Astyanax mexicanus: one gene and its partners. The protein of the gene in region 1 interacts with the protein of each later gene in a biochemical or structural test. Links are inferred from orthologs where the notes say so. Each region holds a gene or a part of one and is shown in the gene's direction. Other genes may lie near its edges. The genes, in order: lcp2a, itk, ptpn6 and nck1b.

Region 1 (7,768 bases):
TAATTTGATAAATTCTTATCTGGATTTAATCAAGATACTAAGCACATTAAGAGGTTTCAACAGGTCATACAGTTCAATTGTTTTAGCTATTGCTATTTTTATAGCTATTTTAGCATTGCAGTTTCATTCCAGAACTTAAGATGTCTAAACAAACCTCTCTTAATGATCTTTCTCAGAACTGTTCATTTCATTGTGGCTCTAAAACTATTAAATTTAATTAAATTACATTTACCTAATATAAATTAGCTTTGGCTGAGTGGTTAAGGAGTTATTGTTGATCACTTATTCAGTGACAGGCTGGAATTTTTACCTGCAGTAACAAGCCAACACTGATAAGTAATACACTTTAATAAATGTTTTGACTATTTATCATAGTTATATGACTAATGAAAAATTATATTTTTCCAGCTTAATCACTTTTTATTTTCATTATATAGTTGCATGCATTTTTCCACCCCATCATGACAGGATGGAGAGGTTATGGTTTAATTAAGCTAATAAAAAAATAAAACTCATATTATTAATTGTTGAACGTGCAGCAGGAGTCTTCAGTCCCTTAAAAACGGAAACAGTACAACCGTACTTTCTTAAAGTGGTGTGGTTGTTCCAAGATGACAGGGCATTGTTGAAAATGTTTAAATGCTTGATTTTCTTTTTACAAAAAAAGCTGTTTTCATTATTTAAATGTCTAAATTATTAAAAATCTTAATGAGTTATTCAACTTAATCAGGCAGCACTGTGGACATGGCAAAACCTCACCCCACATTAAATAAATCTGTATAAAATGTTTAAAATTTAACTTTAAAGTAAAAATTAACATTTTAGGGGACTTGTAATGTGTTAATTCAGAGTAAATCAGATGAAAACACTGTAATGCTTTCTTAATGATGATTTTTTTTTTATCATAACACTCTTATCACCATGTGATGGCGCTATTGTTTACCTATATGGTTCTGAAGACAACTGGTAAACCACAGGACTGTGCTTATTTAGATACAATTCATTCAGTGCCCTTAAGTTAAATTCCTGATCTGAACACATGAATCTAAACCCAGCATTTCTTTTGAAACTATAAAAGACACTGTAAGCAACTGTAACTGTAAACAACTGTATGACTCTGACAGTTGACCTTTTCTTTCTGATCTAGTTTAAGTACACCCACCTACAATACCAGTATACATTCAGCATCGACTGGAGTTCACAGGAAGTGGAAATTGTTATAGCGAATGACATAGAAAGTTAAAAGTTTTTGGGACGTGCAAATTTCAGATTGCATTGCTGGGAATAAACATAAATAAAGCCAAATAGTGAGACACTTCAAGTGTCATAAGTTTCCACTAGCAATCGTGGGGCCTGGGGGAAAAAAAAATGAAAGCTCAGACTTTCCAAGTGTGGGTGCTTTTTGGTTTGGCCTACTTTGATTACCACCTGACTTACTTACTTTTTAATGAGCTAATAATAGCTGTGGTTTTGTATAGACACCAACTACCTGCTCAAAAAAAAAACAACACTTGAATGCTCTAATACAGTGTGTCCAAATGTTTGTAGACACCCCTTCTACAGGGTTCGTGCGGGTGCTTGAAATCCTGGAAAATGCTTGGATTTTAACAGTCTGTTTTCCAGGCCTGGAAAGTGTTGAAATTTTAGAGAAAGTGCTTGAAAATGCTTGAAATTCTGACTACATTTACTATACAATAAATAATTATCTGACTAAATAAGTTTGCTTAAAGAAAAAATTGCAGAACGTAAAAGGAAAAAGGCTTTAATTTCTTCTCCTTCTGATATTACCAAACAATTCTGTTTGCATTTACGTAAACATAATACACTGCATCTCTTGCAGTGTGACAAAAAGCAAATCAATAATTTTGAGTATATGTATGTATAAATGGTCTCAACTCATCCCAGAATTTGATATACTACAGTAACTGCTCAATCAAATGAAAAGGGTAACATGCGGTGAAAAACATTGATAGTTACATTGTGTAAAACTGCCATTAATAAATCCATAATTTTTGCTATTTACTTACCTAGAACTATTTTTTTCCTCAGTGGCATAGTGTGGAGAATAGATTTGCTTTTGCAATGTATTGATTATCGCTGAATCACAGTGTTGAGATATCACCGTCATCATTAATTTACCACAGCTGAAAGGTGCAGGAAAAACTTGAAAATGGGCCTTGAAAGTTCTTAAAAAGTGCTTTAATTTTAGCTTGTAAAAGGTGTTTAAACTCTGCTTCTAGTAAAATGAATTCAGCTGCACCCATTGTTGACACTGTGGTGCAAATGCGTGCACACAGCTTGTCCAGTCCCTGTAGCCTATAGACAATACAATAGTACTCTGTGGAGCCGGTACACATTAACCTATTTGTATCATGCCTTATGTCAGAAAGGAGTATAAAAGTCTCACATGCATTGCCCTGTTGAGTGGTGGAATTGTGTTCTCTGTAATAATAATGCTCCATTCATACATTGATTAGTGGAGGAGGTTTTGGTGATCATCCAAGCCTCCTGTCCTCTGTAGTGTTTGTGTTGCTGAATGCTCTAAAATCTAGTAGAAAGCCTTCCCAGTAGAGTAGACAGTTTCTCCAATAAAAGCAGCAAAGGCTTTAAAAGTACTGACATTCATTACTCAAGTAGAAGTATAGATATTGGGGTTTAAAAATACTTCTGTAGAAGCTGAAGTATCAACTTAAGCTTTAAAGTGTAAAAGTATACAAGTTAATGTAAGGGAACAAAATGCTAAAATAAGGGGGGGAAATAAGGATAAAAGCTTAGACCATGCCACAGGATCCTACAGTGCAATAAAATAGGTGTGAAAAAAATACTCTAGTAAAGTATAGATAACCAACATTTCTACTTAAGTAAGCTAAGCAAGTATTTATATTTGTTGTATTTACTTGACACATTTAAAAAAGTATCCCTGTTGTTATTATTATTATTATTATTAAAACAGGACAATAAAATCTATTTTGCTAAGAACAAATGAAATGTGATGTATGAGAGCAGAGTCTATATTTATCTGCAGTTATTTAAAATTGATATTTAGATGTTTAATTCAATAGAATGGCTTGTTCTAAATATAACAAAGTAAAGCCACATTTTAGGCATGCTGCACCAAATCAGAAAAAAAATAAAGGTATGATTACAAGGACGTTTTGCAGGATATGGCAATAAACCGTCCGCTAATTGCTAAGCTAGCCTACTGTTTAAGCTACCAAATAAAGCATTTAAACCTTATCTCTTTTTACACTTTAATAATAAATAATTCTTACATTAATAGTTAAAAAACTATTTTTGCTATCACTAGTTTTTCTGTGCTACAACCAGCCAGTTATTACAAAACAAATTAAAAAAACAATTAATGGACTGGCTAGCTACATTTTTCATTAGCATCTTTAGTTAGCATCGCATGAAAATCTGTTTTACAACATGAAAATGTTTAAGAACCTTAATAAGTTTATCTATTTTAAAGTAATATGTTTAGCTAGCCATCACAGTTTGTAGTGTTGTAATTGAGAGGTGCTTGTCAGCTCCCCTAGCCAGAATATAACCCATTTATTATATCTGACAGTGATGTATGATGTATTATTAGAGCTAACATAGCTAGATAAATGTAGGCTACAGGAAGAGGCCAACTTAATGGTTTGAATGGTTTTCTTTTTTATAAAACATGTCTTATTTGTGTGAAATGGTGCAAATACATCTGTTGGATGGGAACTACATTTGCTTCCACTTTCTGCCCACACCTACACACAACCACAAGCAATGGCTGATTGCTTTATAATGGCTGGTCATATGAAGTTGTTTCACTCCAGTAAAGGGTTGCCTGGCAGTTTATTTAGGATTTATGATTAAAAGGCATATATTTGGGCATTTCTATTTATTAGGATATTTATAGCATTTATAGAAAAGAAAATAGACTCAATTCTATCACAAATCTCTAAGATTCATAGCCGTGGGTGGGCTATATGTGGCATCAGACCCCTGCTAAAGTAGCGCTCAGCAACTCAATTGGTGCATGAAGGTCAATATATGTAAGCTTGCTGTAGGTCATGTGGTTAATTGCTTGGTACTGGGCAATACTTAATAAATAATAAAAATGAAAGATGTATACATACTTGCATCCTTTATTAAGTTGAAATTTGTACTGTACAAATAGACATCTAGATGAAATAGTGTGGGTATGCAAACTAAACAGTGAACTGTTCATTTCTTTTTCTCATAAGGGGCTGTACTTCCCCTATTTACCGCGGTGATCAACAGGAAACCTACAGGGAAGTGCTGTCATTCTTTCTTTTCTCAGTGAGCTCAGACAAATCCTGGGTGTTGTTCGCTTTTTAAATATTTACAAATGTAACATAGATGAATTTAGACTATCTTTAAATTGCTTCCTATGTGAACGTACAGGAACATTTTCTCAGCTTCAAACATTTTGGACTTCTTTTTCTTTTCTTTTTTCATGCTGAGCGTTCTGTCAAGAAGACTTACCTTTTTGTGCCGGATTTACGTCTAGAACCTTGCTTGTGGGTGTTTTTCTCCACCCCAAAGTCAGACAGTGTGCTGTTCTTGGTTGCATCGTGGCATGTCAGAGCTAAACATCCTTTCAGCTTCTCAGGAGTCGTGCCTGGCGTGATGAGTACTTGGAGATAAAAAAAAAAGATTTTTTTTTTCATTTTATTTTTGTAGGGTTTTATTTTCATTTAATTTTAGACAGTGGCAAACTTGGAACCATGAGTTTCAACAATATTCCTTCCAAAATGGAGGTCATGAACTGGGATCCTGCTCATTTAGCTGACTTTCTAAGGAGGGTAAGTTAGTTTGTTACTGTTTTAATATGTTTTTTCTATCTTTAAGACCAATTTAAAACTTTAGTACTGACAGTTTTAATATTTGGTTGTTGTTTTTATTGGTGTTGAGTTTGATTTTAATTTTAAACACCTTTAAGTTTAAAGGAGAAGAACTTAATTCAGCAGCGAGGCCTACTGGTTCACATAGGGTAGAAGACATGGTCTAGACATGGTTGCTTTACACATGCAGATTTCACACATTCACATACTGAACATTTCCTCATTAAGCCTGCTTATGTTATGTCACACTTTCTTTGCAGAGTACTGAAAGCGTGATATTTTTCAATGTGTTTAAACTATGTTTTTCCTCTGCGTTACTGAGTGATGTGTTTTTGTCATTTTCATCTACAGCGGGAGCTGACAGGCTGTGATAAAGTAATTATGAAATGCAATATGAATGGACAGAGATTTCTGGTATGTATCTCATTCACTTTCTGAAGACCTTTTTAATTGTATCCATTACTTTTTTCTGTTGGTGTTATGAAAAAAACATGTTAATATATTTAATATTTTCAAAATAAGCCATGTGCATGTTTACGTACCTTTACAAACCTAAATTTAACAATGGATTCAATCACCTGCCGTAAAACTGTCAAATATTTTTTTATATATATATATTTGTTATATTTATATTTTTCTTGATATAAGAAGCATTATCTATAGACAAAATTCCCCTTCACACAGATATGAGTCATTGTTCTATGGCTGCTGCATGTTGTCATGGATTAAGGAAGTGCCATTATTAGAGGTGTCTTTTACATGTTAATATAAAGCTTGATCTGAATGATGATGCGAGAAATACATATATATTATTAAAAAGATTAGAATTATATATACAGCTATGTATTTGGTATCAGCTATGTATTTATGTATCAGTAATAATTATGTCTTGAACACCACTTATATTAGAAAACACAAATGAACAATACTGAATACTGCTTATATGTGCAAATACACTAAAATACCCCCTCCCTCGCAAACGCACACAAATACATATGCATATATGGCTCTGGAAAAAATAAGAGACCACTTCAGCTTCTGAAAAGTCTCTGATTTTGCTATTAATTGGTGTACGTTTGAGTAAAATTAACATTGTTGTTTTATTCTATAAACTATGCATTTCTCCCAAATTCCAAATAAAATATTGGCAGAAAATGAGAAATGGGTGAAATAACAAAAAAGATGCAGAGCTTAAATAATCCAAAGAAAACAAGTTCATATTCAAAAATATGAACATTTTTTCATATTCAGAAATTGAATAAGCCTGTTTTTAATCACAGTTTGCATGCATCTTGACATGTTCTGCTCCACCAGTCTTACACACTGCTTTTGTATAACTTTATGTCACTTCTGGTGCAAAAATTCAGGCAGTTCAGCTTGGTTTGATGGCTTGTAATAATCAAAGAAACTCATAATTTTTAGGTGCTCTCTTATTTTTTCTCTTATGTGTTGTTACTAGCAAAATGTATAATGGATTAAAATTGTATGGCTTTGGCTTACAAGTGACAGTATTAGACATCAGAGACTTATATTTATATGAGATCTTAACGTCGGCAGTAACAGTGTATTTGCTAGCAACACTATATTATAACATTAAATCAGATTTTTATCCACAAAATTATTTAAATACACAATAGAGGGGTGTTGTTTTTGTGTATTGATACATAGATAAGGAGAGTACATAATCTAAAACAAGTTATAAACGTGACTTACAGTGGCAAAACAACATTTAGGAGCCTAATATTTTATTTATAATAATTAGTAGACAAATAATATGTCTTCAGTTTCTGTAGTAACTATTTCTGTAATAGTTACTTATTTATACTTATTTATACTTATTTAATTATTTGTTCTAATGTTTTTTTTTTATGTTTTATGAATTTTATTTGCTTTCAAGTGTATTGTATGCTTGAAATAATAAAAAATCTTTCCTTTCTTTGTGTTTACAGAACATGACAGAAAACGACCTTCAGAAATTTCCTAATCTTTACTCCCCGTGAGTATCCTGCTTCTTTTTAGTTCAGTTTGAGATTTTAGTGCGGTTGTTAAACTTTGTTGAATTTCCTTTTTTATCTATAGTTACGTTTGTTTGTTTTGCATGGGTTGCATTTCCTTTCTAAGCTTTCCATCAAAATGTTGTGACCTTGTAATTGTAGGTGGTCCACGCTGCAGTATGAAGTGTTAACCCTCTTATTATGTGTTTCGGTGCATGCACTCACATTAAGAGGAAGCACTGCTGAAGAAAGATAGTGCAACACATGCAGATGTGGCAGGAACCATTGCACAGCAGAATCATGTGTTACTTCAGTAGTATTTCAGGGAGATGAAATGGCTGAATGTGCAGCATGTTAAGGAACTGAAAATGATTCTGAGAGATAAAGTATCAGAGACTAGACAAAACAGTGGTCATTTTGAAGAGAGTGTCATTAAAAATCACAGTGTATACATGTTTACCTTTAGAACAGTTTTAAGGTACATGGAGGAAAACGATCTATTTTGGTTACCACATCCTGCCGAGCCCTCAGCTCATGCGCCCACCAGTTCCAACTCACAAGACCTGCACATATCGTTCTTATAGTGAGCCGATAGTACACACATGAAGTAAAAAGTCAAAGAATTCAGTTCATTTCACAGGGTAATAATCTGTAATTCTGGGTTTAATAGTGGTAACCAAATATTATGTTTCCTGTGTATCATTTGTATTTCTTTTCTTTCACTTTTGTAGAATTATCTCCAAAATCTGTCGAGAAATCAACAAGAAAGAGGAGAAGAGAAGTATTTTCCCCAAAAGGCAAACACTTTAAAACTCGTTCATAAGTAATCCATGCTTCCTTACTTCAACTTTTAACTTTTTGTTAATAATTATGACTTTTGTTCTATACTTTATATAGGAATCCTGCACCAAAGTTCCAAGAAACAGG
Region 2 (7,961 bases), on another chromosome or scaffold:
TTACACTGAATGAAAAAACAGAAGAAGAAACATCATATATATAAAGCAATTCAAGTCATTTCATCAATAATGCTGCACATCGCAGCGTCTTTATCCCACACTTTCTCCTTCTTTGTGGTTGGAATGTTTTTGTCCGTTTGTCCTGCCATGCAGCTAACGCCCGCCTCCTCCAAATCCATGGGTTCGGTTTTCAGTCTGGACTCGCCTCCCAAACCCGCGGCCCCGCCCAGCCGACCCGCTCCGGCCCCGCCCGCGGCGTCCGGCTGCGGCAGGTCGTCCGGCAGCGAGGCCAGGCAGTTCTGGATCATCTCCACGACTCGCTCCAGGTGCTTCTGGAAGCGCTCGGCCGTCTCCAGCCGCTGCCTCTTCTGCACCTCCATCATCACGCGCAGCGTCTCGCGGGCCTGGTGGGGCCGGTACTCGTTGATGAGGTGATGCATGTGAACGAACAGCAGTTTCAGGTCCTCCAGTTTCTCTTCCCGCTTAATGCTGCCCGGGCTCTTAATCAGAATATCCAGCAGGTCCAGAAAGTTCACCAGGATGGACATGTTGAGCTTTTTCAGTTCCCGCTTGTGGTCGAACTGCATGGGGTGCAGGCGCTCGATGCCCTGGCTCTCCAGGGGCCGGATGATCAGGTCGTCGCACTGGAACTGGTTGCCGAACATGGTGTAATTGTCTCGGATGGGAGGCGGCGGTTTTGGTGCCAGGCCTTTCCGCACGTTCTCGTCCGTGTACTCCTTGATGTACTGCATCGGCGGCAGCGGCAGGGCGCTGACCTGCTGTGGCTCACCCATCCTGAGCGTCTGGAAACGGAGAGAAAACAGAGAAAACAGAAAAGCTTGACATAGTGTACATTTATGCTGATACCAATACAAACATATGACCATTTGAATTAATGAAATAGTGTGTTAAATCCAAATGAATTAGTACAACATAGAAGTATAGTTATTATTTGTTGAGTTTTAGAAACACTTTAACAATTAGAGATAAACCCCGTTAAAAAATGCTTATCTTATATAATAAACAGTATTTGAATCAGTCATGTTAAATGACCAATGCTTCAATAACTGTGACTCCATACATACAGTGTCTTTAAAATATATTGCTTTGTAATTATATTCTGTTATCATTATATCTGTAGCATACATTGGTCTTAAAATGACAATAATATATAGTTTATAGCAATAATTTCTGGTACTGTTTAGACACACCTACTCATTCAATGTTTTCTTAATTACTTTATTTAATTTACACAATTCTACATTGTAGATTAATCTTGATTAAAGACACAAAAACGATTAAGGGACACACATAGAATTACGTAGTAAACATAAAAAAAGTGTTAGTCACCACATTAATCTCCTGATCTAAACCTGATGAACTGAGTTGGTGATTTGAGGTGATTTAAATTGGGATGAGCCTGAGCTGCACAGCGTGAAGAAGGAAAAGCAGCAACTATTGTTCAGCACCTCCAGAAACTCCTTCCTTCAAGACTCTGAGAAAACTATTCCAGGTGACTCTCCCTCATGAAGACACTGAGATTAAAATACTGAGAGTGTGCAGATCTGTCCTCAAAGATAAATGTGATACTTTTGTGCTAAGAATCTAAAGTATAAAACAGATTCTTGTTTGTTTAATACTATTTACTGTTTACAGAATAATTCATACAGCATGCGCTCCAGTAGAGCTTTAATATAGTCTTCAATATTGCAATAGCTATACTATAGTATCTATCCATCCATCCATCCATCCACTAATTACCCTGATACAGCAATTTAGGTTATTCAAATATCATCCGAAACTTCTACTTCTAATACATATTCTAATATTTTGTATTTTACCAGCAAATTTACACTAGGGTATAGGGGTGGGCGATATGGCTCTAAAATAATATCGCGTTATTTCAGAGTATTTTTTGTGATAACGATATACTTGCCGATATAGGAAAACAGAAAAATAATTAATTAATTTCAGGAATATAGAATAACAGTTTAACAGCATAATCATAATGTGGCAAAATAAATCATATAGCATAAAATAATATAATGCAGCAAATAATATTGCAGAATATTTAGTGCATGCATATAAACTGCAAACTGAAACAATTATACAATAAATACACCTAAAGCTTCACAGTAAATAATAGACTAATTTTAAGACAGAACAGCCCAATTATCAAGATATGGATTTTTAATATCACGATATTTCTGTGTCACAATATATTGTACACACCTACTAGGGTAGCATAGTTTTACAATGTTGCTAAAATCGACACAACACAGGTCCCATGCCTATATAATCAACACAGCACATTTTTAAAGTTTTAATCACATTAAATCACTGTTTAACGAGGTTTAGAGTCGTATAAACGCTAAAAATACATTGAAATATATAACTAAATAACCTATATACACATATAACCTATCTAACCCTAAATCTAAAACATTAGCTTTAGCATAGCTTAGCTAGCTCGTCGCTAATGCTAACCTGCTTAGTTAGCATCTAAATAAAAAGTATTTTAAAAGCCCTAAACGCGTGTAAACAGCTCCAGTTACTGCAGTAAATCATACAGAAATTATTACATACCAAACTGCAGCCGAACCGCGCGGAATTCTGTACAGATTATTAATAAAATACAAAATAAACACAACCCAGCCAAGCTCCTGCTCTCATAGCGCCTCCGAGCCCGGACTGTAAGCTGCCTTCTGATTGGACGACACGGGTAAGGGAGGGGAGCTGTGATTGGTGTAGATCATTTAAAGGCGTGTTCAAAACAACAGCGCTGTAAACGTTTTATTTTTTGTAATGTTTTAAAATTAATAATTTTATTTAATAATTATTTGTTTAATTCACGCTATGGTTATTTTATTTTTTATTATGTATTTAACAAACAAGTATACAAATAACGTCAAACAACTGGGTCATCTTAACGTTTAATAATTCAATTTTCTGACCGTTTGAGGATAAATGCAAAATTAGAAAATTGGATGTAAAAGCACATTTTTTTATTTTTTTATGTAGTTTCATCCATTTTTCCAATTTTATTTTTTTCATCTCTGACCCTCACAATCGGAATGTCAGGAAAAAGGAAAAAAAATAATATTTTTTATTTTTTGATTATTCAATTTTAACATTTTACAAAATTAGATGTAAAACTTATTTATTTATTTATTTTTAAAATTCAGTATAGTAAAGAAGAAATGCGTTTTAATCCAGTTTTTCAATTTCTGCCTTTCGTGAACAGAATTTCAGAATTTTTAATTTAAAAAGTGAATCTTTTCTTGATATTCAGATTTTTTCCATTTTTGGATTAAATCTGATGGTGTAATTCAACTAATGTTATTTACAAAATGAAACAATGAAAAAAATCATCCTAAAATTTTCCTAAAATTCTGATTATGAGGGACAGAGAAGAAAAAACTATATATTATAAATAATGGATAAAAACGTCTACACTGCACTAATGTAAACAATTAAATAATGACATTTTTATCCAATTTTAGACTTTTGCACTTAGCCTCAAACAGTCAGAAAATGTAACTGATAATTGTTAAACTAATCAAAAACTGCAAAGCTTAGTTTTGCATCTAAAATTTTTGTTTGTGATTAAAATATTTTGCTAGTAGAATATAAAAGTTTACAATATATTCTAAACGTTTAATCAATGTATTGTTATAATAAAAAATGGTATCTTTATGTATAAAAGTGTGGTTAACATTCATGGGCAATAATGCGTGGCCATGACTTATTAAAATGTAAATTTAGATGTTAATTTCACTAAATGAACATACTTTCACCATTTTGCTCCACTGAACTGTGTTCAAAGTTTAAACATGATTCTCTTGTCATGTTCATCAGTCTAATTTTCTGAGCAAATAAGGCTAAATTTAAAAACATATACAACTGGGTGTAACATCTTTTTACATATTTTCCCCTATTTAGTATAGTGAAGAAGAAATGGGTTTTCTTAGGAAAACAAATTAAAATGAATTAGGTTCCTGCCCTATGATAATACCTTCATTTCTTCCTAAAGTATTTTTCTTCATTTAGTTGAGTAGTTCTTGCTTCTCATAATCTGGATTAGAACATTATTCAAATATTCACTATTTACTGTATACCTGTAACTCTACCTCTTCACTACTTTACAACTGATGCTCTCAAACACATTAACATTAAGAGGCAAGAAATTTGAAAAAGTAGTAATTAACTCTTGATGAGTTCAGCACAGCTGTTAACTGAAAACCTGAAATCCAGGTGACTCTACCTCATAAAGCTGACTGAGAAAATACAGCAGAGATGTGCAAAACTGTCTAATTTAAGCAAGAGGTGCTGATTTGAAGAATGTAAAATATAAACATATTCTGGTTTAACACTGTTTTCTATAATTAATAATTCCATATGTTTTTTTCATGGTTTAGATGAGTTTAGTATTAATCTACAATGCAGAACATTTTAAAATAATGAAAAAAAAAACACTGTATGTAAGTTGTGCCAAACCTTTGACTGGTACTGTATGTATGTGTTTGTATGTGTGTATATATGTGTGTATGTGTGTGTGTGTGAGAGCACACTTGTGTCATATACCTACCTAAGGAAGTGGTTTACCCGGTGTATCTTCTCCGGAAGCCCATAACTCATGATGCACCAGTGTTAGTCTACAGACGCATGATCTCTGTTAGTAACACACACTCCACGGCAGCAGCAGCAGCAGCAGGAATGCCTGAGCCCAGCTCAGCTCCTCCAGCAGACTCATGTACCCTAACCCTAACACGTACCCGCGGGTCATTCTGAAGGGAACTTTATTTAAGAAGTCTCAGCAGAAGCGCAGAACCTCCCCCTGCAATTATAAAGAGCGCTACTTCATACTCAACACTGAGGACCTGACCTATTCAGAGCGTCGCCCTGGGGTGAGTACACTCGCTGCTGTACAATATACATAAATATATATATATATATATATATATATATATATATATATATATATATATATATATATATATATATATGTACATTTTTATTGTGGGAGTAAGATGATATAAAAATGGAGTTACAGCCAGAGCCAAGCCCGAGTCCAGACCAAGACCGGCATACATTGAGTCAGAGTCAAGACCAAGACCGGGCTATATCGAGTCTGAGTCAAGACCAAGACTAGGCTATATCGAGTCTGAGTCCAGACCAAGACCGGGCTATATTGAGTCTGAGTCCAGACCAATACTAGGCTATATCGAGTCTGAGTCCAGACCAAGACCGGGCTATATCAAGTCTGAGTCCAGACCAAGACCGGGCTATATCGAGTCTGAGTCCAGACCAAGACCGGGCTATATCGAGTCTGAGTCCAGACCAAGACCGGGCTATATCGAGTCTGAGTCCAGACCAAGACCGGGCTATATCGAGTCAGAGTCCAGACCAAGACCGGGCTATATCGAGTCTGAGTCCAGACCAAGACCGGGCTATATCGAGTCTGAGTCCAGACCAATACTAGGCTATATCGAGTCTGAGTCCAGACCAAGACCGGGCTATATCAAGTCTGAGTCCAGACCAAGACCGGGCTATATCGAGTCTGAGTCCAGACCAAGACTAGGCTATATCGAGTCTAAGACAAGACCAAGACCTGGCTATATCGAGTCTGAGTCAAGACCAAGAGCGGGCTATATCGATTCTGAGATAAGACCAAGACTGGCTATATCAGGCTATATGAGTCAAGACCAAGATTTGTGGTAATCAAGTCAGCTAGTCAGTGGCCAATACCGATATAAAGATTAATATCCCAAACCAGAAAAAATTATTTCAAACCACTAGAACTGAGTCAAGAACAAGAATCTTAGCAGTCAAATCCGACTTAAAACCAAGACTTATTTTGCAGTCAAGTCTGAGTCAAGACCAATAATTTTTTTTAGACGAGTCCATGTCAAGATCAAGACATTTGGTAATCAAATCCGAATCAAAACCAAGACTTTGAAAGTCAAAACAGAGTCAAGACTAAGACTTTTTTTAGTCAAGTCCGAGTTAAGACGAAGACTTTTGGGAATCAAATCAGAGTCAAGATCAAGACTTTTTTGTAGTCAAGTCTGAATCAAGACCAAGACATTTGGAAATCAAATCCGAGTCAAGACTAAGACATTTTTGTAGTTGAGTCCGAGTCACGACCAAGACTTTTAGGAATTAAATAAGAGTCAAGACCAAGACTTTATTTATTCGAGTGCTAGTCAAGACCAAGACTTTTGGAAATCAAATCCGAGTCAAGACCAATACTTTTTTCTTAGTCGAGTCTGAGTCAAGACCAAAACAACCAAATCAAGACAAATACTTTTTTTTGTAGTCAAGTCTGTGTCATGACCCATACTTTTGGGAATCAAATCCAAGTCAAGGCCAAAACTTTTGGGAATCAAATCGGAAGTCAAGACCAAGACTATTTTGTAGTTGAGTCAGAGTCAAGACCAAGAAATTTGTTGTCAAGTCTAAGTCACGACCAAGACTTTTGGGAATCAAATCAGAGTCAAGACCAAGACTTTTGGGAACCAAGTCCGAATTAAGACAAATATTTTTTGTACTCAAGTAGGTGTCAAGACCAAGATTTTAAGGAATCAAATCCGAGTCAAAACCAAGACTTTTCGTAGTTAAGTCCGAGTCAAGATCAGGTTAAAGATTTTTGTATATAAATATAAAAAGTCAAAACCACTAGAGCCAAGTCTAGACAAGTTTAGACATACACTTTAACATATTGAGTCTGAGTCAAGACCAAAACTTTTGTTAGTTAAGTCAGAGTTAAGACCAAGACTGGGAGATATCAAGTCTGAGTCAAATTCAAGACCAGATAAATATTATTTCATGTAAATATAAAAGACCTCTAGAGCCAAGTCAAGTCTGAGTCATGACCAATTCCAAATGGGATCAAAACTAAGATTGCTTTTTTATGGGAGACCAGACTCGAGTCTTACAACAGTAATTACCAGACAGCATATTTGTACTTTTGGTATATACTTTATGTTACAATAGGAATGTCAGATTTTAACAACAGCAAGACTCAACTATTAAACAGCATGGCTGTAGATATTAGGTAGCGTTTACTGTGGTCTCATATTCAGTATTTTGTGGTGTTATTGAGCAATGCCACAGAAGAAGCATTTTTGAAATTGAGATTCTAAAAGATTTATAGACATGAATGTAAAGGTTCTTCTCGCTCACATTAACTCCTTTTCAGTTAGTTTTCTTCTGTAGTGTTATTAAAATCAGTAAAACAATCATTTTGTATCACCATACTTTTTACAATCTTTTTAAAAATACTTAAAAAACAAACAAATAGACTGAAGCTTTTATTGGGATAACAATACTGAAATAAAGCATGAACTTAATTTGATGTAAGATCAGGCAAGTTGGATTTGGCAAAGGTGTGGCACCTTTTAGATAACTTCGTATAGTCACTCTCCAATGAAAAACAAGTATCTCCATTTTTGTCAATTTTTTGTTTTTCACATAATTTGAACACAAAAACCGTTCATTACACTGTGTCAAGATTTCTTTATGAATGGATCAATATAAGTTCTCCAAAATTAACTGAAATAAACTCTTTATACATTGATGTCCATTAAAGTTAAGAAGGTTTTATCTCTCTCCTGTAAAGTAGCTGATTTAGAGAGTATTTTTTGTTAGACAGCGACGATATGCTGGATAGGGCTTTGAAGTTTAATACTTTGATACTTTTGGTATTTGTTATTGTGTGTTGTATTAAAAATAAACTTTTCTTTATCCTATAGGAACACTCAATCTCAGTCTTTGATCTGTTTTTTATATAAGGACATTCTTGAAATTTTTAAATTTCATCTTGTTTAAAAGTATGCAAATTGGGAAAGACTTTTAGGCATTTAGGAAAAGAATGTTAAGGCTACAGTCTAGCGTAGAATGTGAGATGCTTTATGTAATTGTTTTAATATGTTCTTACGTGATTTCTTTGGTGTAAATCT
Region 3 (8,247 bases), on another chromosome or scaffold:
TAATGGTATTAAATAAAAAATTTAAGTGATACAGACAATGCTATTTATTTCGTGCACAGTGGTAAATAGAAACTAACGGAGCAGTCAGCCAGTTACATTCTCATTTCAAGTTGGTGGGACCAGTTTCATTTGAATCAGAATATATATTTATCTTCTTAACGACAGAGAGAGGCCTTAGATAAAGATCAGTGTGGCTGGGGTGGGGACTGTGTTATTCACAGCTCTGACACTCTTGCCTGTGCTCTTCTGCTCTGTCTCAGTACTCTCACTGCAGTATATGCCACTGCTGTTATGATCTTTGACTCTGCGTGCTCTTAGACATGGCTATGCTCGGTGGCAGGATGTTCAGAATGACCCGCGCTATGCCATCCTCAACCAGCCCTTCAAAGGAGAGATGAGCCGTGGAAACTTCCTTGAGATCAAAAACAAGTTTCTCGCTCGCAGGTTTAAGGTACATAACACTCACTGTCTCACTCACTCACTTGAACACATTCATGTACGCTGCTGGTACTACAGAGATTTTGTTTTCCCCCAGCTGTTGGAGCAGGCGCTGGTGATAGAAGAGCAGCTGCGTAGAGCGGCATATCTTAACATGACGGAAGACCCATCCCACCCTTCTATGGCCCTCAACACTCGCTTCAGTGAGGTGGAGTGTCTGGCTGAGTCCCACCAGCACCTCAGCAAGGAGTCCATGTCTGGAAATAAACCTGCTAACGCTGTACTGCACAAAGGTACATCAATATTGTGCCTGTGTGCTAGACTAGAAACACATGGCACACCAATTGCAGCTTTTCACACAGCGATGCAGGTACTTAAACAAATTCCATTAAATAACTTAAATAACTAGATTTTTTACGCTTAAGACTCTTGTAACTAACGTAACTGTACATTAAGCCTTATTATGCCAAAGTTAGTTCAGACTCTGCAATGTGATTGGCTGAGATTTTTAGTCTTACTAAGCATTGTAAATAGAAAAAAAAGATTGTTTTACATGTTTTAGAAATAATTATCTTATACAGTCTTACTTAGAATTTTCACCTTATTTTAAGTATTTTTAACTCAAAATTAACACTAAAATTCACCAGTCAAGTTATTCTGATACAAGTGTAGACATTTAAGCTAGAAAATATTTATTTTGCTTGATTTAAGTCTTACTTCACTCATTTTGAGGCTTTGTCATTGCTTATTTTAAGAAAACATTATAAAAAAAATTGCTTACATCATTGGCAGATTTAATTTAAGCATTTATGTCTCCATTTAAATAGATTTTATCTAGTTTTTGCCAATGGATTTTTTTGCAGTGTATCCTTCAGGCACAGTGCATAAACGCCATCTCTCCAATAGGCGGTGCAGGCAAAGACACGGTTCACACAAATAAACAAACTTAGCAATTCAAAAAAATATATGTATTTTAACAAACATTATCAGCCATCAATATCAGGATAGGAGTTGATATCATATTAGTTAATATAGGGTATTTTAAGTGAAATTTAAGGTAGCGAAAAATAGGGGTCCCCATGTAATTCCGCAGGTCTCGCCGCTGGGGGGCGTCGAAGTAAACAAAACTTTAATTCTTAAGTCAAACGAGCACTGGACTTAAATCTACACAGATTTCTCTTCTAAAAAAACATTTATTTAGGCGAGTAAAGCTTTTATATTTATTTACAATAAGCTTAGATTTCCACAATTTTGACTGAAATGGCCGAAAATAGAGGCCACCACGCTAACCTAGCAACAGTGCAGCGCGTGTTTATAACCAAACAGATTGTATTTTCTCTCATCCTCTTTAACTCAAAATATTTTAATAAACAGCAATGATGGAACTTTGGGATGGTGCGATTAACATGTAATATTGGCACTGCTGGCACATCTACAGGTCTGCGACGGCTGCACAGCAGTGCCAGCAGTCCCTCCCTTGTATTATTGCTTAATTATAAACAGAAACATGCATTAAAAGAGAGGTCGAATTTTGGCAGGCAGAATTCAGCATAACATCTGGAAAGGCAACTCGTCAAACTGGCAACATTCTACGAATCAATCAGTGCTTGTTTATAGAGAGGTGCAGCCCACATTGGTTGATGAGGACAGGACATAAGTTATTTCCTGTGCTCTTTAAACTGCAGTGTATACATGTATACAGTGTAACAAAACGGACTTTGGTCTGGTCTTTTAATGTGTGAAAACGCCCTTAACGTTTTAAATAGACACAGAGATACACAGTCTCTGAAGATGCTCATTAGAGATCTATCAGGGATGCTTAGATACTTTTATTTTGTCATAAATTGAACTCTCTCTTCATTTTTCTTAGTTCTTAAGCAACTGGAGGAGCTGCTCAGTGACATGAAGGCTGACGTCACCCGCCTCCCAGCCACCATCGCCCGGATACCACCGGTCGCTGTGCGCCTGCAGATGTCAGAGCGGAGCATCCTTAGCCGTCTGGCCAGCCGTGGGCCAGAGGTTACACAGACGCAGGCACCCCGCTGAGCCCCAGATGACCTTTTGACCCTTACATCCCTTAGGCTCTGCCCTGATCCGGAATAGCTTCACCCAGTCGTTCCCTCTTGTGCTGGATCAGGTTACCCAGAGTACTGTACAGAGAGTCCTCCCTGCTGTTAGAATGAAAAGAGAGAAAGAATTTTCCACTGTAACATAACTGTGTCCCTCCATAACACTTCTCCTTACAAGCTCCCCAACCTGAATAGCACTAAAACAGCTCAGAGTGACCTTCCTCTCACTACCCTCCCAAGCATCTCTGCGGCCAGTGATCAGACTTAGAGCTTTGCGAGGATTCCTTGTCTCACATTGTGTCGTTATCATAATAACCTCAGGCAACTCTGACTTCTCATTCCTGTCTTTACACTAATACAACTGACCTGTAAAATACAGTGCGTATTGGCATCTTGAGGCCTGTGCATTGAGATTTTCAGGTCACATAGCTTGTGGGATTGTTTGCTGAAAAAAAATGCCACTCAAATGTATACAGAAGTTCCACAAAAATAAAATATATCACATCGCCACTGTTCTGTCTTGATGTAAGATATTTTATTAATGTGAAATGTATGTACACATTTGAATCAAATAACTACATAGTTTTTTTCAGTGCATTAGAATACACTCAAACACCCTCACACTATAACGGTTTATATGAGCTCAGACATCTCTAAACAGAGATTTCCTTAGCAAACCATGTTTAAAAAAAACTCTTTCCTGTTCGCAATCCTCCGTCCAACCCACCTCACATCATTCCTGAGTGGTCCCCAGATGGTGTCACAGACTGTCAACATCATAAGCCACAGTCCCTTCTCCAGCCCACAATCAGAAAACACAACTGGGATGATGACAGGATGACGTTTAAAACAAGGCTGATTTTCCACATTCAAAACGTTTGATTAGCTCACTTTGTAAGTATTGTTGTTGCCCTGGTATTGTTTATACATATATTCTTTCTGGATTTTGACCTACATACAATTAAAATAATTAACAAAAAGGTTTGTCTGGATATTATGAGTGCTTTTTAATGAATATTTGTCTATTGTGTTCTTAAGGGGAAGGAGCTGCAAAGCACAAGATAGTTGTGTGTTGTATTCTACAATTTGTTATTCAGCACATTAGACATAAATTAAGATTAAGAGTAAGTTGAAGTGAGGAGAGAATGAGCACAAAAGTATATTTAATAATATTTGGAAAAAGTGGGTTCTGTTCTTCAGAAATATATTAGAACTTTTTTTGTGTGTGTGATCCGGTATGCTGCTTTAGTCTGGTGGAGGGTCCAGTTGGAAATGTTTTTAATAACACATTTGTACAATATTAACTGCCTTTACAATGTCATATGTTACTTTACAACACGGGTAATGCCCTGCTAAGTGCAGTTCAGTCACTGACCTAGTCTTATAGTCTCTATAAAACACGAAATCCACCGGAGATCCTATGTAAACTTAGTTACTTACACAAAGAGTTGGGTAGTCCAGGTCCAGAAAGTAAAAATCCACCCTGGGGTTTTGTTGGCTGAGCCACAGCAGAGCCCAGGCAGTTGGAACAAAACCTTGAGGCGGATTGTTGTGTAAACAGAACTGTTTAAAACATATACCTACCTATCTTAATTGTACTTCGCTGATGGTGTTTCATAGACCATTCGTTCCTTAGCTCTGAATTACTGGGCAAATCATATAACACTGATGTGTTATTTTTACAAATAACACAGGAACTACCATGTTGTTCCTGATGCTGTTAGCTTCTGTCTGACAAAATGGCATCCCTGCTTGGCTTCAGCTCTTCCTGTGGGCGGTCGCGAGTCAAGGCGGGTGAGGCCATGAATAATAACCTAAGTCACAGGTTGACGTAGACACAGTGCTTTTTCTAATAGACTGAATATTATTTTCTGAACATTTTCTTTTACTAGCAGACAATGGAGTTTAAAGAAGAGTTTTATGTGCAGCATGCATATACAACTCGGAGAGACCTATTGTATTTCACAAAGAAAAAGTGGATTTTAGTTTAATAAATCATTATGTTAATATAATATGTTGTCTCTTTAATTTAATAAAGCTAAACTCAGTTTAATAAATCATTCTGTTAATATAATATGTTGTTTCCTTAATTTAATAAATCTTCCCTCTGTTTAATAAAGCGATTAATTATCTTATTAAATTATTTTGTAGAGTGTAGAGGGGGTGATTAACTGGTGTATGTCTGTGAATATGTTTTGGTATTTGAAGGGTTTGGTTTTTCAGCATATCTGTAGAATTAGGTTTTCACCTGGGCGAGTCTGGACAGGTCCTGTGTGTGGAGCACAGTGTGGGTTGGAGTGACCCGGATGACTCAGGCTGGAGACTGGAGGGAGAGAAGCGGTCAGTGAGGAGAAATATTAGCTCACCGTGTTACAGAATGATCTACCTCCACAGAGTTCCACTGACAGCTGCTCCAAACACACACACCAGGTACACTCCTCACTCCTCCAGGTGAGACAGAGGTGTGTGGTTGAGAGCGAGCGCGCGTGCGTGTGTGTTTGCTGACTAGGAAGAAGATTTGGAGGCTTTTTTTGGCTCTCAGGCAAAACACGGCAATTTGGGAAAATTACAGGGTGGAGAAGTGTAATCATGCTGCTCTGATCTCTTATCACAACCACCGTTTACATACAGAGAGGGAGAGAGGAGCTCTTCTGAGCGCTATAGGTTATAGTGATCGTAGTGCACTATGTAAATGTAGTATATGAAGCTCCTCGCTGTGCAGGTGTGTGTGTGTGTGTGTGTGTGTTGACCCGCTGATGAAGAAAGCTCGGTGGTGGTGAGTCTGCTGCTGCTGTTGTTGTTGTTTCTTTCTGTTTAGTGAGTATATGTAGTAAGACTGCTGTTGTGTGTCGCAGTGACTCTGCAGTGTGTGTTCTGTGTCTCTCTGATTCTGAGGGAATTAACGTTAGTTAATTCTGTTTCAGTGTGTAGCTGTGTGTGCTCTGAACAGGTCTAGTCTAGCTCTGGCTCTGGCTAACTAACTTTCTAGCGGTGTCTGCAGCGGGAAGTTCTCTGTTGGAGGGGTAACTTTCTTTTTAATTTAAGTTTTAAACTATCCTTTTACTAAATCCGGTTACACCACAGACCCCTATGTCGTGTCTTAACTAGTAGCAAACTAACTCACGCGCAGAGTTACTGTCGCTTTTACATGACGAAAACAAGCGTGTAGCATGTCAATCAATGCCATGGAAACGTGGTTGTCAGCCAGCGCAGATGTTTTTGTTTTTATTATTTACGGGGAAATTATATATTATTAATGTTATTATTCCACATTATATATATATATATATATATATATATATATATATATATATATATATATATATATATATATATATACTTATATACGTATATATATATATATATATATATATATATATATATATATATATATATACATCTGAATCTAATAACACATACACATGTACTGTATGTATAACTGTTACACGTACTGTTAATCTCAGTTTCGAAACCAAAGACGGTTACAACAAGTTCACTAATTTCTTTTGATTTTCTCTCAAAGAAGTCTTTATTTTAAAGAAATTGTTGACAGTATGTTCAAATAATTGATAATTTTGTTTTTAAATCACTTTATATTAATGTACATTGTATTTCTCCTAAAAGATGCAATGCTATTTTTATTTTTTCAAGAAGACCCAAATCTGAAATTGATTAAAAAAAAAGTGTTTTACATTCACTAATATTGTTCCCTGGTTAAACAATAAAGCAATAAAGCAGAGGACAATACTTATTCCTATTACTGGAACTCACTCCTGTTACTGACAGTCACGCCTGTTACTCTTTATGTTATAAGTAACAGGAATGAGTTTTTATCTTAGAATTAGAAATTCTAAAATTAGAAATTACATTATTTTAAAAATAAACAAATAATATCTAAGAATTAACTTAGGTAACAGGACAGAGTGTTGAGATTGACCTCCTCAATCATAATTACACTATCAAATATACAGAAAAACAAATAAGGGAACTTTAATTTTGGTCTTCCCATGATCTCCAGAAGAACCAACTGATGGAACTTCCTGATGTAGATGTGACTTGTAGTATGTCTCAAATGTTTCAGATGGGGTAATGTGTTACGATAACAGGACTGAGTAAAACCCAGGGACACTACTAAAATTTCTATTTTAACTTAAATAGTATGGGGAAATTTGAAAGTCTATGTAGGTCACAATTTTTGAGATACAAAGACGAAATACGGCTGGTTTATACAACTTATCGCGTTCTTTCCGACAATATGCTTCACGAAATTATACGTCGTACGGTTTTCGTACAATTATCGTACAAAGTTTCCCCATAGGAATGAATGGGGGGCCCAGAGTTCCATCTCGCACACGAGCAGCTCTGCGCACGGAACCCCTTCTCTCCCCTGCTCCTCCAGTACTGTGAGTGTATGGAGGAGCTGCTGTATGGAGCAGCTATCAGTCAAAAGTTTGGACACCCCGGCACCCCAGCCAGGGCTTTGCAACCACCTATTAACTGCTTAGCAACAACTTAGCAACCACCTGGAAAACGTTAGCAACTGCCTAGCAACCAGTTAGCAATACCTTAGCAACCACTAGGAAAAGTTAGAAACTGCCTAGCAACAGCTTAGCAACCACTTTAGAAATGAAAGCAACTGCCTAGCAACCACTTAGCAACCACTTAGCAACCACGTTAAAAACGATAGCAACTGCCTAGCAACCACTTAGCAACACCTTAACAACCACTAGGAAAACATTAGCAACTGCTTAGCAACCACTTTAGAAATTATAGCAACTGCCTAGCAACCACTTAGCAACCACCTGGAATATGTTAGCAACTGCCTAGCTACCAGTTTGCTACACCTTAGCAACCACCTGGAAAACGTTATCAACTGCATAGCAACCACTTAGCAACCACTCTAGAAATGATAGCAACTGCCTAGCAACCAAATAGCAACAGCTTAGCAACCACCTGAAAAACGTTAGCAACTGCCTAGCAACCACTTAGCAATCATGTGGAATATGTTAGCAACTGCCTAGCAACCACTTAGCAACCAATTTAGAAATGATAGTAAGTGCGTAGCAACCACTTAGCAACACCTTAGCAACCAACTGGAAAACGTTAGCAACTGCCTAGCAACAGCTTAGCAACCACTTTAGAAATGACAGCAACTGCCTAGCAACCACTTAGTAACCACGTGGAATATGTTAGCAACTGCCTAGCAACCACTTTAGAAATTATAGAAACTGCCTAGCAACCACTAAGCAACCACTTAGCAACCACATGGAAAACGTTAGCAACTGCCTAGCAACCACTTAGCAACCACTTTAGAAACACCTTAGCAACCGCATAGCAACACCTTAGCAACCACATAGCAACCACCTAGCAACACCTTAGCAACCACCCCAGATACCATAGCAACACCTTAGCAACCACCTAGCAACACCTTAGCAACCACCTAGCAACACCTTAGCAACCACCCTGGATACCATAGCAACACCCTAGCAACCACCTAGCAACACCTTAGCAACCACCCTGGATACCATAGCAACACCTTAGCAACCGCATAGCAACACCTTAGCAACCACCTAGCAACACCTTAGCAACCACCCCGGATACCATAGCAACACCTTAGCAACCGCATAGCAACACCTTAGCAACCACCTAGCAACCAACTAGCAACACCCTAGCAACCACCTAGCAACACCTTAGCAACCACCCCAGATACCATAGCAACACCTTAGCAACCACCTAGCAA
Region 4 (8,619 bases), on another chromosome or scaffold:
GCGCACAGCGTACTCTCAACCGGAAACAACCATCCTCAATTCAGAATATCCAACATACCTGATCTCTATATTGGGAGTGGGAGGAACCCAGAGTTCCCAGAGGAAACCCACACATACATAGGGAGAACATGGAAACTTTACCCAGATAGGGACTTGAACCCAAGACCCCAGTGCTGAAAGGGCGAACGTGCTAACCACTAAGCCACCATGCTTGTTCTAGAGATGTACAAATCTCCCTCTCCAGAATTAAGCTGTGTGTTCTCTGGAATTATGGTGGTCTATCCAATACTTTTGAGATTTTGGGGGCATTGGGGAGTTGGGAATGAGGTGGGATGGTGATCATACTCCAACATCCTGACCTCACTAACACTGCTCTTGTTAATGATTTCAATCAAATCCTCACAGCAGTGTTTCCAAATCTAGTAAAAAGCCTTCTTCCTTGGACAGTTGAGACAGTTACTCCAACAAAAGCAGGATAAACTCTTTTAATATCCTTAAATAAGCAGGTGTCCCAGTACTTTTGTCCATATAGTGAACAGTACTGCAGTATACTGAGTACAGTTTATTTGCTTGAGGCAGGAACATTTCTGCATTTCTGTTCCCCTTCAAACACAGCTTGTTCTGTGCTGGCTGTGTTATCTTCAGTCTCTTCTGCTGCTGCTGCTGACGTTTTGCGCCTGCTGTCATGCTGATGGCCTGCGGCAGGCGCTCAAATGAAATTCACGCCATCCTCAGCACTCCCACAGCTGCCTCGGCTACTCCAGCAGCCCACAGCCCTGCCATCCTTTTCTGATTGGCCTTTTTTTTCTCCACCACCACCACAAGCCAAAGCGATTTAGTCTCTGTTCAGCTGCTGGCACCATGCCTGTGTAAGAGCAGTGCTGGTATGACTGCAGTGGTGGAAATGACCAATGGGGTGCTCAAAGGATTTGTTCATTTCATGGTAATGACTGTAACAAGGCCTTTGCCCACCTGCTCCACCAGGCGGCACTTCAGAGACGGGCTGCTCCTCTGTGGTTGAGATGCTGATACTGATCTCTCTGTGTTCTCTCAGTGTTTGGCCTCTTGGGAGCAGAGTGGAGCTGAGCTGCTGAACAGGAATCTGTAGATTCTCACACTTTGTGTTCAGTTTAGTCAGAGTTATGTACAGGTATGCAGTGCTGTGTGTGTTGCATGAATGCTATACTGTACCGTATAAGGATACATCAATACATGATTACTGGGCTTAAAATGACAAGATATATTTTATTGCTATAAAGAATACATTGGAATATTATATAAGACCAATAATGGTCAATAATGGTTACTAATTAGCTTGTAAATGCCTTAAAAATCATTAATAATCAGTTATAACACATACGTAGAAAGGGCAACAATGACCTGTTGTTTGCCAAATAGTGAACCCACAGCTATCTATATTGTTGCCTTTTCTACGTATGTGTTATAACTGATTATTAATGATTTTTAAAGCATTTACAACCTTATTAGTAACCATTAATAAACTAATAGTAAACCATTTATAAACCCTTTATGAAGGTAGTCTTATTTTAAAGTGGTACCCCAATCTGTACTTTTGGCAGTGTGGGCAGTGTGCGAAATCCTGCTGGAAAATGAAATCTGCATAATCTCCATAAACGTTGTCAGCAGAGGGAAGCATGAAGTGTTGTAAGATTTAAAAAAAAAAAAGTATTTTTAATTTTAATGCCTTCCATGATGTATTTACAGTACACACGTGACACTGTGGACCGAAGAACATTAAATCCCTGCACAACTTCAGAAATGGAACATTAGACATGTAGAAATTCCAAAGTCATGAGATAACACTTTGAACACATGGTCAATTTACTGTAAAAACAGTTATCTCATATCTTTTTAGCATGCCAATGTAATAATATTGTCTTACAATATATATTTTTTGTGTGTCAGCAGATCATTGAATCAATTAGCAATATGAAATATTATTTCAAAAATCACAATTTAACAATGATTTCCACTGTTTTTTCGTGCAGGTCTTCTCAATATGGTTCAGGCTAATCAGAGGGAAGCATGAAGTGCTGTAAGATTTTGTAGGAAAACAAAACTGCACTGACTTATACTCATTAGACTTGATAATAAAACACAGTGGATCAACACCAGCAGATGACATGTCTCTCCAAACCATCACTGACCATCAGTAAATTTTGCATTTCATTTATAAATCAAGGGAGCAGAGTCTGGTGGAAGAGTAAAGAGACACACAGTCCAAACTGCTTGAAGTCTAGTGAGAAGTTTCCACCAATCAGTGATGGTTTAGAGGAGAGACATGTCATCTGCTGGTGTTGGTCCACTGTGTTTTATTATCAAGTCAGTGCAGTTTTGATTTCCCTCAAAATCTTACAGTACTTCATGCTTCCCTCTGCTGCTGACAATTTTTATGAAGATGTGGATTTCAATTTTCAGCAGGAGATGGCACACTGCCCACACTTCCAAAAGCACCAATTGGTCTTATATAATATTCTAATTTTCTGAGATACTGATTTGTGTGTTTTCATTGGCTGTCATAAAAGTCATAATCTTTAACCATAAAATAATTACACCATAAAGTAGTTTTATCACTAATATAATTTTTTTCACATTTTAAAGTGAATTACTTTTCAGTGATATTCTAATTTTTTTTGAGGTGCACCTGTAATTAATACTTACAAATTAATTACGTACAAATACTTTTTGCCACATGGTGTACATCTTCCTTAACATTCACCCCCTGGTGTTGTCACCCATTAAATAGGCTGCTTTGCAAACAGGCCTATAATGCGTAATAGCAAGGCTGTAAAAAACAGGCTGTAAATCACAGTTGTTGTTGTCACCATGTTGGCTCATATTTGTGCATGTGGTTGGGTTATGTAAATGATAATGTGCCAAAAGCTTTTACGGATGGAGCAAAATTAGCATTTTAATTTTATAACCTCGAGCTAAAATTCATTAAATCTTCTCTCCACGTCTTTCTGATTAGGATTAGCTCACAGCTAATTAGCTCAGGCTTTATTACAGTGACTCTTCATGTTCCAGACTGTATGAACGGTTCATATGGTTCATACACAGTGTTCATACGTAGCACTATGCTGAGCATGTGTGTGTTTGGGGGAGGTTGGGGGGGGGGGGCTCTAGGACATGTACAGTGGGTCCATCTGTTTGTGCAGGAAACAGATTGCATCCTGGAGTGTGTTCTGCGCCCCTCCATTCGACTCCCTCGATTGTAAGAGGTCGAGGTGTGTATGAACAATATCGCTCACGGATGAGTGAAGATACAGTCAAAACAAATGCAACGATCAACAAGTACGTATTTCTGTTTAATTTAATGGCAAGCGGACAGAGAATAGAGTGGTGGAGGGATGACATGCCGGGTCTATCAAACAGGAAAGATGCTGTAATAACTGGGGTCAAACATGTAGGATATGGCATATTGCCTTATAATGATAACATGACACATAGTCATGCCACATGAAACAGGCCTGCTGCAGAAGCCTCATTTAAACTGATTTGATTTCTTGTCACATTAAATGTGGAGATCTTCAGTCACTCTTTGACATTAAAATGGAAAGTCTGATAAATAAGGCACATAAATAACAAAATAAATTAATAAATATTTAAATAAACAAAGAAACTAATAAATGAAGTTAAATATATAGTGCCTTTCTTGAAACCCAAGGACGCTTAACAATTAATAAGTTTTTACACACAACCATTCATACCCTGCACTCATCCACACACCGATGAGAAGCAGCAGCCAATAGCGCACAGCATACTCTCAACCGGAAACAACCCCAAAGTCCAACTGGAGAACTGCATCGCGCACTACAGCATTTACCCAGGACAGAGCGCCACACATACCTATACATACAGTACATATACAAATCAATTTAGATTTTTTTAATTTTCAATTGTTTTTTCTGGGCAATTTGGAGTATCCCATTTTCTTGATCTTCATTAAGGTTTGGAAAGCTGTAATAATTAATGGTTGGATTTGCTTCTAACAAAACCCTCCATAAAAAGACTATCATCTACTCAACAGAAATTGATTATGCAGAAGAGGTGCTCATTTCTAGTCCTGGAGACCTCCTCTCACCAATTATACGTTGTGTTGTTAGAAAATATAGAAAGTAGTGAATAAATACTGCTTACAGTACACTTTAGTGTAGTTTTTTTTCCAACTAGCTTTAAGGTGTACACAATATGCACATCAATACGCAAAGTAGTATATTTACAACATAATTCAAATGTATTAAAAAGGTGTTTAAAAAACACATACTTAAATCTACTTAAGTTTGCAGAAGTTGTACGAAATAAACTCTCAAAAGCTGCCAAAGCAACAAATAAAAAGTTTACAACAAGTATGTATGTTTATAGTAATAATATAAACAGTCAAATATACTTCTTTACATACAGCTCTGGAAAAAATAAAGAGACGACTTCAGTTTCTGAATCAGCTTTTTTTATTTAGCTATTTATAAGTATATGTTTGAGTAAAATGAACATTGTTGTTTTATTCAGTAAAATACGGACAACAGTTCTCCCAAATTCCAAATAAAAATATTGTAATTTCAAGATTCAGATCCTTTTTTTAATCACAGTTTTCATGCATATTGGCATGTTCTCCTCCACCAGTTTTACACACTGCTTTTGGATAACTTCATGCCACTCCTGGTGCAAAAATTCAAGCAGTTCAGCTTGGTTTGATGGCTTGATTATGTTCCAGAGGTTTTCAATGTGGTAAAATGGAAGAATCTCATAATTTTCAAGTGGCCTCTTATGTTTTTTTCCAGAGCTTTAATTTTGCACATATGCATATTTCCATTTACATAGATATATAACATGTAAGCCACGTGCAAACTGTGTAACATTAAATATTAAAGCTGAGTAAATAAATGAATAAAGGTTTGTTGAAAAAAAAATAGTTTGTTGCCAGAGGGCAACATTATGCCATAGAAAGAGGGTTAAAAAAAACCTTTCCATTGGAAACAAACCTGAAACATGCAGCAGGGCCACGCATCTTTATGATTGACGTACAAATTAGCCAATAAGGGGCGTTCTCTCTCGCTGACAACCAATGAGAATCGAGTCTGAGCGTTCTGACTCCACCCAGTGACAAAAGTTAGCAAGAGGCGGGAATAAGCGTGTAGTGGTCTTTAATGATAGACGCGGGAATCTTCAAATGAGAGGATCTGCTTTTCCATACGCGAACCAATGAGAGTCGGGACTGAATCGGTGGCTTTCCAATGGGAAGTTAGATAGCGGTTGGGGGGCGGGGCTTTGTCCCGCTGGATGTGCTGGAATAGCGTCCCATAAAGGCGAGTGACGGTTGGCTGTAGAGCAGGAGGGCAGCGTTAGCTGAATGTTTAATATAGCGCTATTATTATTGTTTTCTGGATGTTTATGGTTCATAAATCGTGTGAATAAACGTGGGCAATATATTCGGAGAGGCTGGTTTGAAGGTAAGACCTGGAAAAGGTTTATTTAGTAGCTTATTTGAGGCTGTGGTTTGGTTGGATGGCTGTAGTAGTTAGCTAGCTGAGATGCTAACCGCAGACCCCGCTGCTGTTTCTAGCTTTAGTATGAGAAAAACAGGGAAACGGGGTCTTGCTGGGATTAAACCGGATTAAAACGTGTTTTTCTAAATTAAATACACTTTATCGGTCTGTAAATAAGATGGTAAGATGTATGAGAGATGGAGTAGAGGTGAATCACGCCGGCCTGGCACCGTTTAAATCACGGGCTGCTCTGTTTTGTGTTGGTTAGCTGTCATGCTAACCATCATTGCCACTGTTCACTGACCTCAAGCTATTCCTATATACCTACTGTAACTAGGGGTGGGCAGTATTATATCGTATACAATATATCGTCACACAGAAATATCATGGTATTAAAAATCCATGTCGTGATAATAGGGCTGTTCTGTCTTAAAAGTAGTCTATTATTTACTGTGAAGCTTTAAGTGTAACTTAAAAATACCCTGAAATATCGTGATATTATTTTAGAGCCATATCGACCACCCCTAACAGTAACTATAGCTAATGTTACCTATTAACCCATATCTCCCATGTCTTTTATTTAGACATTTCTATATGTTATCCTTAAATTTCATAGCTAAACTATTCCAGTATTATTAGACCAAAATGAGTGAGGCACTAAATAAATATTGGTTGTTGACCTGTGCTGTGTTTTTACTGCCAAATACCAACCACATATCATCACATTAAAGTGTATATATAAGCTATATAGATATATTTAACCTCTCATTTCTGCTGTTAACGCCATATATTTCTATATGAGCTATTCAGGATGTATTCAGATTAGACCCAGCTATGAATCATGTGTAATACAGGATGTTTCATTATATTGCTTAGCTAAAATCTTAGTGAGGATCTAAGTAAATATAAGTTGTTGACCTGTGCTGTGTTTATCCTGTCAAATACCAAATATCACATTAAACTAAAGATGAACTAGTTATACACATTTAACCTCTCATTATACAGACTAGACCTAGTTATACAGTTGTGGTCAAAAGTTTACATACACTTGTAAAAAAACATAATGTTATGGCTGTCTTGAGTTTTCAATAAGTTCTACAACTCTTATTTTTCTGTGATAGAGTGATCGGAACACATACATGTTTGTCACAAAAAACAGTCATAAAATTTGGTTCTTTCATAAATTTATTATGGGTCTGCTGAAAATGTCACCAAATCTGCTGGGTCAAAAATATACATACAGCAACAAAAATTGTCAATTTTGGTGATGTAGCGAGTTGTGTCAATCAGATTAGCTTCATGTCATGGCCTCTTCACTTCTTGTAAGTGATTCTGATTGACTACAGCTGTTGACTTCTCATGAGCCCATTTAAATAGGGCTCATTTGACCCAGTGATTAGACTCAGCTACAAAAGCTACAATGGGAAAGTCAAAGGAACTCAGTGTGGATATGAAAAAGCGAATTATTGACTTGAACAAGTCAGGGAAGTCACTTGGAGCCATTTCAAAGCAGCTACAGGTCCCAAGAGCAACTGTGCAGACAATTATACGCAAGTATAAAGTGCATGGAACAGTTGTGTCACTGCCACGATCAGGAAGAAAACGCAAGCTATCACATGCTGCCGAGAGGAGATTGGTCAGGATGGTCAAGAGTCAACCAAGAATCACCAAGAAGCAGGTCTGCAAGGATTTGGAAGCTGATGGAACACAGGTGTCAGTCTCCACAGTCAAGCGTGTTTTACATCGCCATGGACTGAGAGGCTGCCGTGCAAGAAAGAAGCCCTTGCTCCAGAAAAGGCACCTTAAGACTCGGCTGAAGTTTGCTGCTGATCACATGGACAAAGATAAAACCTTCTGGAGGAAAGTTCTCTGGTCAGACGAAACAAAAATTGAGCTGTTTGGCCACAACACCCAGCAATATGTTTGGAGGAGAAAAGGTGAGGCCTTTAATCCCAGGAACACCATGCCTACTGTCAAGCATGGTGGTGGTAGTATTATGCTCTGGGGATGTTTTGCTGCCAGTGGAACTGGTTCTTTGCAGAAAGTAAATGGGATAATGAAGAAGGAGGATTACCTCCAAATTCTGCAGGAAAACTTAAAACCATCAGCCATCAAGGTTGGGTCTTGGGCGCAGTTGGGTGTTCCAACAAGACAATGACCCAAAACACACATCAAAAGTGGTAAAGGAATGGCTAAACCAGGCTAGAATTAAGGTTTTAGAATGGCCTTCCCAAAGTCCTGACTTAAACCCCATTGAGAACATGTGGACAGTGCTAAAGAAACGGGTTCATGCAAGAAAACCATCACATTTAGCTGAACTGCACCAATTCTGTCAAGAAGAGTGGTCAAACATTCGACCTGAAGCTTGCCAGGAGCTTGTGGATGGCTACCAAAAGCGCCTAGTTGCCGTGAAAATGGCCAAGGGACATGTAACCAAATACTAATGTTGCTGTATGTATATTTTTGACCCAGCAGATTTGGTGACATTTTCAGCAGACCCATAATAAATTTATGAAAGAACCAAATTTTATGACTGTTTTTTTGTGACAAACATGTATGTGTTCCGATCACTCTATCACAGAAAAATAAGAGTTGTAGAACTTATTGAAAACTCAAGACAGCCATAACATTATGTTTTTTTACAAGTGTATGTAAACTTTTGACCACAACTGTACATCATGTGTGATACAGTATATTTCATTACAAAAATATTTAGTGAGGCACAAAATAAAAATGGGTTGTTGAGTTGTGCTGTATTTATCATGCCAAATGTCATTTACAAAGTAAAGCTAACCTATACACATTAAAAAAAAAATCTGCTGTGTGATATGTTCTCATCTATATTTCATAAAAGTGTTTAAGAATATACTCAGACCACATTTAGTGAGACACTTTTTTTTCACATTTAGTGAGACACATATTTTTATATATTTATCTTATGTTTGTCCTGTTAAATGGCATCACATTAAAGTAGTTCAGTAAATCAACATGATTTCTAAAACCACCAACCAGTTGTTGAGAAATGATGCTTCAGACATCATGTTATTGAGACCGTAATGGCAATTGGACCTTTATTCTTTTTTCATGACATTTTGAGTTCAGATGTCATGAT

Evidence for each region.
Region 2: the proteins of lcp2a (region 1) and itk form a complex in vitro, tested with the Homo sapiens proteins (2 studies listed by BioGRID, with this or other methods). The link is inferred for Astyanax mexicanus from reciprocal best matches to the Homo sapiens genes LCP2 and ITK.
Region 3: the proteins of lcp2a (region 1) and ptpn6 form a complex in vitro, tested with the Homo sapiens proteins (2 studies listed by BioGRID). The link is inferred for Astyanax mexicanus from reciprocal best matches to the Homo sapiens genes LCP2 and PTPN6.
Region 4: the proteins of lcp2a (region 1) and nck1b form a complex in vitro, tested with the Homo sapiens proteins (2 studies listed by BioGRID and IntAct, with this or other methods). The link is inferred for Astyanax mexicanus from reciprocal best matches to the Homo sapiens genes LCP2 and NCK1.

What each region holds. Positions count from the first base shown.
Region 1 is NC_064424.1:10,749,908-10,757,675, reverse strand, and holds the start of lcp2a (lymphocyte cytosolic protein 2a), read left to right. Parts: upstream 1-4,236; 5' UTR 4,237-4,730; coding exon 4,731-4,808; intron 4,809-5,198; coding exon 5,199-5,261; intron 5,262-6,796; coding exon 6,797-6,843; intron 6,844-7,572; coding exon 7,573-7,638; intron 7,639-7,738; coding exon 7,739-7,767; intron 7,768-7,768. UniProt on the Homo sapiens protein: Adapter protein primarily involved in signaling pathways within T-cells, as well as other immune cells such as platelets, mast cells, and natural killer (NK) cells.
Region 2 is NC_064417.1:49,419,893-49,427,853, reverse strand, and holds the start of itk (tyrosine-protein kinase ITK/TSK), read left to right. Parts: upstream 1-4,654; 5' UTR 4,655-4,751; coding exon 4,752-4,907; intron 4,908-7,961. Other genes in the region: med7 (mediator of RNA polymerase II transcription subunit 7), read right to left, coding at 51-794. UniProt on the Homo sapiens protein: Tyrosine kinase that plays an essential role in regulation of the adaptive immune response. Regulates the development, function and differentiation of conventional T-cells and nonconventional NKT-cells.
Region 3 is NC_064413.1:26,348,440-26,356,686, reverse strand, and holds the start of ptpn6 (tyrosine-protein phosphatase non-receptor type 6), read left to right. Parts: upstream 1-4,818; 5' UTR 4,819-4,958; intron 4,959-5,093; exon of another isoform or gene 5,094-5,283; intron 5,284-8,247. Other genes in the region: chd4b (chromodomain-helicase-DNA-binding protein 4), read left to right, coding at 319-451, 536-731, 2,309-2,484. UniProt on the Homo sapiens protein: Tyrosine phosphatase enzyme that plays important roles in controlling immune signaling pathways and fundamental physiological processes such as hematopoiesis.
Region 4 is NC_064413.1:49,211,233-49,219,851, forward strand, and holds the start of nck1b (cytoplasmic protein NCK1), read left to right. Parts: upstream 1-5,305; 5' UTR 5,306-5,471; intron 5,472-8,619. UniProt on the Homo sapiens protein: Adapter protein which associates with tyrosine-phosphorylated growth factor receptors, such as KDR and PDGFRB, or their cellular substrates. Maintains low levels of EIF2S1 phosphorylation by promoting its dephosphorylation by PP1.